Linked DNA regions of Drosophila melanogaster. The protein of the gene in region 1 interacts with the protein of each later gene in a pairwise test. Each region holds a gene or a part of one and is shown on either strand. Other genes may lie near its edges. The genes, in order: CG32633 and CG17110.

Region 1 (4,032 bases):
GTCACACAAACAAACAAACACGCACACACGCTCGCACACAATGTTGCACGTTGCGTGTGCCCTGCTGCTGCTGCTTCTTCTTCTTTCGTTACTTGCCGCGCCGCACGCTCTTCCTCTTACACTTCCCAAAGCCCCTTACCAATTGACCAATGGCATCGGAATCGGAATCGTAAACAAATGCAGCGCGCTCGCACTCTTCGTCACTCGAATGCTTTCGTCACGTCACCGTGTTCTCGCTTCTTTTTGCAGCAAATATGCACTCGATTCGCACTTTTCGCGACGACAACCGATTTTGGAGCTGTTTGGGGGCAGAGTGTGACCGTCGGGCGCAGCGGGCTGCACGTCGACTGCGGCGTCGCTGAAATTACCTAAAATATCTGTATGGCGCAATGGTGTGGCGTGGTGTTTGGTTACTACGCTGGAACGGTCACACTGGAAAAGAAAGCTCAATGCATTTAGCCAAGACAGGAACCAGTCGAAAGCTTAAATCGCCAGCTGTCGGCGGTTAGGCAAACTGCTACGGCTCGACTTTCTCCAGCTCGTCATAGGTGGCGCCACGGTTAGTGCAGATAATCATCTCATAGGTGGCGCCAATGATAGTGTTAAGATTAAGGCCTTTTAGCAACTTTCCTATAAAATAAATTGCGAAAAAAAGTATTTCCATGGGAAACTTTGTGCTGTCAAATAAGTGCTTAAAACATGTATTGATTACAACGTGTGCACATTAATAAGCTATGAAATAAAACGCTACGCCCGCCACTAATGAATTGACTTTAACTTTATGAAACGTTTTAATAAACTTTTCAATATACAAAGAAAGTTACAAAGAGTTTCGATACCTATAACTTTTTACCTCGGCAGACGAAAGGTCGAGTTATAAAGCATCGAGTGCATATATGTACACATTCTGATAACTGCGATATCTGTCTGAGTTTTACGATGCAGTGTTTGTTAAGTCAGTGGGCGAAGGCAAATGGTTAATTATGTTACAAGTTGACGCAAATTTATGGCCAACTAATCAATTGATTGTTGCTAATTGATAACCGATGTGATAACATAAGGCCCGCATATAGAAGAAATTCCTCACATCCGCAATACCTCGAAATTTCTATGACAACCACTTTGAACTATTATCACCAAAACTCTATGAAAGGGGTACTTTTTTTTTAGAATTACTGGGTGCATTACCATAAATTTTATCAGTTACGTTGCTCGATGTCGATCGAATTAAACTTAAATTTATACTTTAATCTGTATACTTCTGTTGTGTGTGTAAAAAATAGATTTATTAAAAAAAAAATGGAATAAAGGCAAAGCTGTCCGTCTAGATCCTCACCAGAACCTCGTAATTCTCCAGACGCACCTCCTCGCCACCGAATGGGATGTAGATGCAGCCGTGCGAGGGATGGATCTTGCCCACACTCAAGCTGTCGCAGTAGATGGCCCTGCCGACGTAGAGGGGCTCCCCGTCGACATTCGGACCGGAGGACAGGGCTCCGGGAGCCACATTTCCGTGCGAGGCCGGAACCCAACGGAATCCGGATCCCGTCAGCACCTGGACGTCGGTGAGCTCGTGCTCCGCCTGGGCATAGGCGGCATAGGCTTTCCCCTTCGCCGGCACCACTTTGGCTGGCAGCAGATCACCATTGCGGAACACCCTGCCCACGTAGATGGTGTCCCCGTTGGAATCGTGCCCAGCAACCAGAGCTCCATCCGGAATATTTGTTGCGGTGGTGTCGATCCAACGTTCCGGCTGGCACAGCACCTCGTAGGCAAAGATCTTAACCTCATCGGAATCGTAGGGAATATACAGGCAGCCGTGGGATGGATGCACCTTGCCCATGGTTAAGCTGCCGGCATGATAACCCCTGCCCGCATACAAATACTCGCCGTCCACATTCCGACCAACTTTGACGGCGCCCGGCGGCACCTCCCCGTTCTCCGCCGACAGCCACTCGTAGTTGTAGCCGGAAAGCACCTCGTAGTTCTCCAGCTCGTGCTCCTCGCGCGCATACGCCACGTAGGCCTTGCCCTTGTTGGGAATCACCTTCGCCGGCAGCATGTCGTTGGAGAAGAAGGCACGGCCCACGTAGATGGTGTCCCCGTCCGAATCGTGACCAGCCACCACGGCATTCGGCGGCACGCTGCCGTTGCTGAAGTGCATCCATCTGTGGTCTGGGGGATAATGGAAAAATGAAACGATTATTTAACAGCACACCGAATGGTATAACTCTTTAATTCTGTTGTTCATGGCAAGTAAACTAGTTTATTTGGCTAGGCCAAGTTAGTTTCCAAAATTGAATTAATTTATTTTGAGTTTCAACTGATTAAGTACTTTAAAGATTGGTAACTGTTTTATATCATCCACCTAGTTAAATGTTTTCATTTTTTGTTATGGCATCTTGGCCTTACGACCTATTTACCTGCCATTTTCTTGTCCGTTCTTCAGCAGCTCTGACTTTCAACTGTGAAAGTGGTCGATTTGATGGTCTTTTTGTGTTTCCGCCTCGATGTCGCTGATAGGGCTTATCGGGAATATACCTACATGGCCAGATAAGAAGCCCGACCTCAAGTGACTCAGATCTTGGCAAACTCTTGTTGAATTTCTAATCGATTGGCCAATTGGAAGTAATGGGGTTTAACATCGAGAAACAGGCAAGTTTATTTTATTAACCCATATAGTGAAAGTAAATATTGCACTAGAAATGTTATAAATGTTAAGTAAATTTGATTTATATTTTATTTTTTTATCTCGTTATAATTTATACATTTAAAATTCTTTCGAGTCGTCAAGAATGTAATTGCATTCATAATATCATAATGGTTATTACTTTTTTTTTTGTTGCCGACAAACTTTCTCGCTTATTGTTTGTTACATATAGCATATACATATTTCATGGAGCTGTAGTTAAACACAAAAAGTTTATTCCGCTTTTTAACATACTAATAACAATAGCTTGCGCGTTTACAACTCGTGGTTAACCAGTTATCTCGTTCATTTGTTGTGCCACCTTTTCGAGTTGCCTTACATCCGTGCATGTATCTCCATTTAACCGCCCAATATTCGCCAATTTGAATGGGGGAATCGCTTGATCCTTTATTTATTCGCCACATTGCAAATTTCTTGCGCGCGCTTTTCCGCTTTCCCACTTTTCCGCATTTCCACTCGTCCAGTCGTCCACGCACTTCACTTATTTAGTGGTCGCTGTCTTTGCAGTTCGTTTTCGTTCGTTTTCCTTTTGTTTTCCCAGCATTGTTGCCTCTTTGAATGATTTTTCTTGTTTTGCCTTTCAAGTGGATCACTGTTTTTTGTTTGCATTTTCGCCCATTTACAACTATTTGAACAAGGGAAAACGTGGAAAGCTGGGCGCAAAAGTTAAGAGGGGTTGCTGAAATTGCTGTGCAACGCAACGTTTGCACCTGTTTACAGTGGCTTGTGAATTCCCAATGCTGGACTGGTGGTAGGGGCTGTGTGGGGAGTGTCATTATTAAGCTTTACGATTTTTCCACGATTTCCCAGCAGCTTTGCGCGCCCTGCTCTCGAGCAAACCAATTAACCAGAGATAAGTCTAACTTGACTTCAAACTGGGTAAACAAGCTGCATTCTCGAAATACGCAAAAATGTTGCAGATTATAATACTTTAAATCAACTTTGTTCGGTTTTCGTTGTGCATCTTCTTTTTGTGGGTATGATGTTTTTATGCCACTGCAGCCTAATGAATTTGTTTTCGCCCAGCCAGGCTCCATTTGGCTTTGTGCAACGTTTTAACCTCATTTTGGCCTCTTTATTTAAACCCCCCCCCCCCATTTCTCTGTTTGGCCAACTTAATTTCACCTAATACATTTTAATCATTTCCACAGTACCACGAACTAAATGCCCTCCTTCATTAACCCCTTGCTGCTCCAACCCATCTATCTGTCACGCTTTCCGCTCTCGATTCGCATCCGTTCTCCATGGGTCCATCTTTGCTGGTTATACTTTTCTGGTCGCTTTGCTTATCCTTGCCACACTGTGAAAAATAAAGTTGGCCA
Region 2 (6,034 bases), on another chromosome or scaffold:
GTGAGCCTGCCTTTTCAGGAACTCCACACATTCGGCTAGAAGTTAAGATGTACATGAGTAGTGCTCTTCTGTGAATTCCTTGGGGAATCCTTACTGTAATCCACATTTGGCTGCACCGTAGCTATGCGCAAATATTCGCGGAATATTTTGATTTCCTCGTTGTCCTCCCACTTTTCGGTGCTCATTTTGTGGATATGTTTTCGCTGCCAGTCACCAAACTCGAATGTGCCGCAGTTGGCAAAAAATGAACTTATACAGAAATTTTTGTGTGTTGGGTGATTTTGGTTTTATGGCCTTGGCTTCGTATTATTATCAAATAATGAGTTCGTTATCAAACTCGGTTGTTATAGAAATGATAACAGCACATATTCTTGTACAAAATTCTACCAAAACAAATGTCTAATAGCAAACGGTAGCCAATTCGATAAAGTTCACATAACACCAATAAAACTCAACCACCGTCGTTTATGGTCTGCGAAAAAATGGGTTATTATAATTTGTATTTGGTTTGATAAGAAAATAGAATACATATTAATGTAATTATTGATAATTATGATGTATATATAAAATACAACCCCTTTACGTGAAGGTTACGTTAGTTTTTGAGAACGATATCAATAGTTGTGACGATTTATTGGATATTGAATGAGGGCAAAGTCCATGACAAAAACTCTCTTCTGAAACTCGTGTTATCAGTGTGTGATTTTCATTTGTTTAGAAACAGATATGATTTGTAGTAGTCACACCATTTAAACATTTAATTTTGGTCCTACACTCATCGAGCCAAAAACATTACTCATAAGCGATAAGACCAATTGTAGCATATTGATTTCCATTTATGAGTGGAACTTCGCTTGAACATTTTATGAATCAGCAATAGAGGGGATGAGCTTCCTGTACACCTGAATTCCGTGCAGATATGTGTCGGCCCGCAAATATTCATCATGATTGTGCAGCAGCACCGGGGTGTTGTTGATGGGTGAAAATCCCAGAGCGGGAATTCCCACTTGCCGGACGTAGAAGCTATCGGTGGCGCCGGGGAAAACTCGTGTATGGGTGATCAAACCTCTGGAAAATTTCAACAAATTATGAAGTGAAAACTACACAATCTTTGTTTACCTACAGTTCATCTAGTCCCTTTTTGAAGCCCAGCCAGTAGGGATTGGAGTCGTCTATCTTGGTCACCACCGAGGGGCACTTCAGCGTGAAATCCAGTTCCACTCCACCACCGACTTCGTTGCACCACTCGCGAATCTGATTCTCCATTGCATCGGCATTCTGGTTGATGGCTATGCGAATATCAAAAGTGGCTTCTAGTACGGGGGGAACCACATTGCTTTGGACGCCACCGTTGAGTTGGGTCAGGTTCAAAGTGGTCACATCACCGGACTGCAAGGAGGAGTCCTCGGCCAGTAGCTTGACCTGGGTTTCTCGGAACTTCATCAGCTTATCCATCACAAAGTGAAACTTTTCGCCAGCCGTGCTTTTGTGCAGCAGCGATCCATGACCTGAAGTGCCACTGAATTTAAATCGAAGTTCTGCAGGGGTATAAAATGAATCAGAATATATTGCTACTGATGCAAATGGAAGACTTACGCCACAATGTACGCTCGGCGTAAAATACAGGATAAGTGTCATCTTCACTGGCGATGCCCTCGTCCAGGCTAAAGCCCACATTCATGGCTTTGAAGTAATCACCCTTGACGAATTCAGCCATGCCCATGTGTCCGCCAGTTTCCTCGTCGGGCACAAAAGTCAAATATACGGTCCTTTTTGGCTGATAGCCACTGGCTTTGAGTGCACGGACCGCAGCCATGTACTGACATCCCACGGACTTCATGTCCTGGGCACCGCGTGCATAAATCCGGCCTTGGGCGTCTATGTGGGCACCAAACGGCTCATGGGTCCACTTTTCGGGAAACACGGGCACCACGTCCATGTGTGAGTTCAATATAATGGATTTCAGCTCGGGATGCTTGCCCAGCCACTTCATAATCACCACCGGTTTCGAAGGCACAACAGGATACACCACGTCCACGCGGAGATTAAGTTTGTTAGCCTGGCGTTTTAGGAACTCCACGCATGCAGCTGCAAGGGAAATAGGGATAACAAAATCCAAGGAGCGGAAAAACAAATCCTTACTGTAGTCCACGTCTGGATGCACCGAGGGAATGCGCAAATACTCCTGGAAAATGATTATTTCCTCGTCGTTCTTCCATTGTTCCGTGCAAGTGCACATTTTGAGTTGAATGCCCCGTGGTTCTAAAGGAACTGACTTGTAATCCACCGTGCTGTTTGGTTTGAAGTCTGAGTGTGGATTGACTTAATGGCATTATCAGTTGTTGACTTTAAGCTACTTGATTAGAAGAGCCCACAATTTGCGGATTTTCATCTTTGCGCTAAGAGCTTAATGTTATCTAGCAAAGCCATAATAGTAAACCATAAACTTATTCATTTTCATTTAAATTTCCTTTTTTTGCTCACCATTAATGGTATGGACTATGGACTGGCTTATTTATTCATACATTGTTTATTTAAATGGGTTTTTATAAGCCTGCTTGTTTAAAGTTATTACAATAAACATCGACAAGTAAGCATTAAATGCATTATTTCATAATTGAATTGAGTTCGCTAAGCATCAGCTACGGCAGGAATGAGCTTCTTGTAAACCTCAATGCCGTGCAAATAGGTATCGGCTTTCAGGAATTCATCGTGGTCGTGCAGCAGGATGGGGGTGTTGTTAATGGGCGAGAATCCTAGAGCTGGAATGCCTGCGTAGCGAATATAACGACTGTCCGTGGCGCCGGGGAAAACACGAACCCGTGTCTTGAGGCCACTGAAAGAAACAAGGAGAAAGGATATCAGAGCCATGCCTTTTGTCAGAGCTTCTCATCCTTACAGGTCATCGAGTGCTTTCTTAAAGGCCAGCCAGTAGGCATTCGACGAGTCAATCTTTGTTGGCTCCACAAAGGGGTTTTTCATCTCAAACTCCAGTTCAATGCCGCCGCCAGCCTCCTCGCACCAGTCGCGAATCTGCTTCTCAAAGGCAGGGATATCCACGGTGACGGCAATGCGGATATCAAATACAGCTTCCAGCAATGGGGGAACCACGTTGCTCTGGACTCCGCCCCTCAGTTGGGTGAGATTCACAGTGGTCACATCACCAATTTCGAGGGATGAGTCGTCAGCTAGTTTTTGCACTTGCGATTTGCGGAACTCCATCATTTTGCCTACCACATAGTTCAGCTTCTCGCCAGCAGTATTCGGGAGCAACAGTGATCCGTGACCAGCAGTTCCGCTGATCTTGAAACGAAGATCTGCAGGAAAACATGGCTAGCTTAAATTGTTTGTATGAGTCAATCCTACTCACGCCAAAGAGTCCGTTCAGCGTAGTACAGAGCGTAGGTTTCATCCGCACTAGAGATTCCCTCGTCGAAACTGAATCCCACATTGAGCTTCTTGAAGTAGTCGCTCTTTACCAGCTCCCGCATGCCCAGGTGGCCGCCAACCTCCTCGTCCGGAACATAAGTGAGATAGATCGTCCTCTTGGGTTGATAGCCACTGGCCTTGAGGGCACGCACAGCTCCCAGATATTGGGTGCCCACGCACTTCATGTCCTGCGATCCGCGCGCAAAGATGCGACCCTCTGCATCTAGATCCGCGCTGAATGGACCGTGTGTCCACTTCTCCTCAAAAACGGGCACTACATCCGTGTGCGAATTGAGAATGATGGAGGGCAGTTCCGGCTGGGAACCCTGCCATTTTAGCACCACCACGGGATTCTGCTCGTTCACCGGATAGATAACCTCCACGGGCAGGTCCAAGCTGGCAGCCTGGCGTTTCAAGAATTCCGTGCAAACGGCTATAAATAGCAGACACATTTTATGGCAAGGTCATAAAGATCAGGGTACTCTTATCGCAGCCTCATAAAGATATACATGCCCATTGGAACTCACTGTAATCCACATTTGGATGCACCGTTGGTATGCGAAGATATTCGCGAAAGATCTTAATCTCCTCGTTGTTCTCCCACTTGGCTGTACTCATTTTGCACTCTATAAAATGTAAATAATTAGCCGGCTGATAACAAATCAATTAAATTGTTTGCTGAAATCAGCTGATCGACACTTCACCACAGCGGAGAGCAGACACACAACACACCTTTCGCAACACTGGCTCGACGACGACTGTGCGATCGTGGAGAGAAGCGCGCGTTTAAATATCAGCGATAAGCGAGCGAAAGAGAGGGCATGATAATAAATCCGAGAAGGAACTAAACCTAATTTCTTATCATACGGTGCTGCCTATAAACTGTTTTATCTTACGCATTTGTTTACTTTTTAGATGGCTAATCTACTTTTCAGTACAAATGACTTGCAGTTAACAATTGCTTCCGTCATTAATAATATTCGTGTCTTCCCATTTCTATATGAGAAACTAATTTGATGAATTTAATATCCAGCACTCAAAAATTCAATTGATTACAAAAGAGACATCCCCTAATAGTAATTTCTATCTTGTACTGCATTATTTATAAATTAAACTGAATTTTGCAGCTCATAGCACAAGGAGTGGAACTCTATTTCTGTACCATCCCAATTGGTAGGGATTCCACTCCATGTATTGGTGAACATTCTTCCATCACTTTCCGGTACATATGAACCCACTTTAAGGCTCATTTACTTGGGATTCCCCCTGGCTGATGGATTTATTTGCCTTAAATGGAGGCGAAGGTGCTTCGCATTGCTTTGGGGGTAACAGGACTGCAGGATTGCTGGATTGATGGTGACCCCATTTGGCCCGCAGCCAAGATTTCCGATTACTGATGAATCGCATGCAATCGCATTCCAATTCCAGTTGATTTGTTAATCAAGATGCACTGCACACGTTCGCACCACACGCCCAGTGGGCTTCCGGGTAAACAAGTTGCCCCTCCTCGGGCCTTTCAGCCACTCGAATCCAATTCAAATTTCGCATATTAATAGTGTTCCTGCTGCACTTGCCGACTTTGCTGCACTGCGTCTGTTGTCCCAGTAGTGTGTCAAAAGTTAGTTTCGCATTTAGATTTCACGCTTGTTCCCATACAGAAAAAAAGGTGGTTGGGCCAAAAAAAATACACAAAACCAAAGCCCTCTGATTTGTGTCGCATACACACCCTGCTAGGCCAAAGTTGATATTGTTTTAGTGTGTGTACTCACAAAAAGTCATTAAAAGTTCATTAACAATGTTGCTGGGATTTTAATGGCGCACCAGCAGCAATAGCAGCAACTACAGGCTACACATGTCTGCATTTTAAATAACATCCAAGCCCCACATTCGTACAAACTCGTACTCTCCCCATTTACAGCGTCACATAAGTCAAATAAATACACAAGTTTCCTGCGCACAAACACTCGTTCAGCTGCACAATGGGCCAAAATGGCAAGTTTTTGGCATAATTCGAATGTAATGTCCCTAGAATAGAGTCTATAAGTCTGTACAGAGGCTAAAGTAGTTCATTCTTAGTCGAGTAAAACACGAATCTACTTATCTGATGCCAAATTATTCACTTTTCGCCCATGGTGGTGACTTGGGGGCGCGCCTGTTTGTTGTTTGCTGATGTTGCTGCTGAGCTGACATGTTGTCGCTGGGCAAATAAACTAAATGAAAATTTTGTATATTGTAACAATTATCCGGGCAACGCCGGAAACTGTTTGCGTTGAGCACCCAAAACCTGCAGAACTGCAGAGATGGAACCCCGAGGATATCGCCTAATCCGTTATGGGCGCATTACCTGGCCAAAAAAAGCAAAAAAAAAAAATAAAAGCGAGAGAACTGATATAATCCTCCTCTGCCATTTACCATTTACCATATCCCTCGGCCCAGAGCGTACATTTCCTTTTGTTCGAGCTTTTTTCAGAGCCCATGGCAAAGTTTCGGTAGTATGGAAATATGGAATGGGAATTGGGTTGCTGGCGGACTGACAGCTCAAGGACAATCCGGAGGGCATGCGTTTGCATCGCCTGGAGAGCTTCAATTTGTGTGTGTGTGTGTC

What was found.
Region 2: the proteins of CG32633 (region 1) and CG17110 interact in a two-hybrid assay, tested with the Drosophila melanogaster proteins (one large-scale study listed by BioGRID).

What each region holds. Positions count from the first base shown.
Region 1 is NC_004354.4:13,560,109-13,564,140, reverse strand, and holds CG32633 (uncharacterized protein), read right to left. Parts: upstream 2,471-4,032; 5' UTR 2,431-2,470; coding exon 2,424-2,430; intron 2,176-2,423; coding exon 1,325-2,175; 3' UTR 782-1,324; downstream 1-781.
Region 2 is NT_033777.3:23,089,884-23,095,917, reverse strand, and holds CG17110 (uncharacterized protein), read right to left. Parts: upstream 4,195-6,034; 5' UTR 4,162-4,194; intron 4,142-4,161; exon of another isoform or gene 4,056-4,141; 5' UTR 4,048-4,055; coding exon of another isoform or gene 3,957-4,047; intron 3,863-3,956; coding exon of another isoform or gene 3,371-3,862; intron 3,318-3,370; coding exon of another isoform or gene 2,900-3,317; intron 2,837-2,899; coding exon of another isoform or gene 2,632-2,836; 5' UTR 2,485-2,631; exon of another isoform or gene 2,459-2,484; intron 2,421-2,458; exon of another isoform or gene 2,418-2,420; 5' UTR 2,240-2,417; coding exon 2,143-2,239; intron 2,089-2,142; coding exon 1,597-2,088; intron 1,539-1,596; coding exon 1,124-1,538; intron 1,069-1,123; coding exon 864-1,068; 3' UTR 734-863; downstream 1-733. Other genes in the region: CG17109 (uncharacterized protein), read right to left, coding at 1-35, 95-185; CG6726 (uncharacterized protein), read right to left, coding at 2,632-2,836, 2,900-3,317, 3,371-3,862, 3,957-4,047.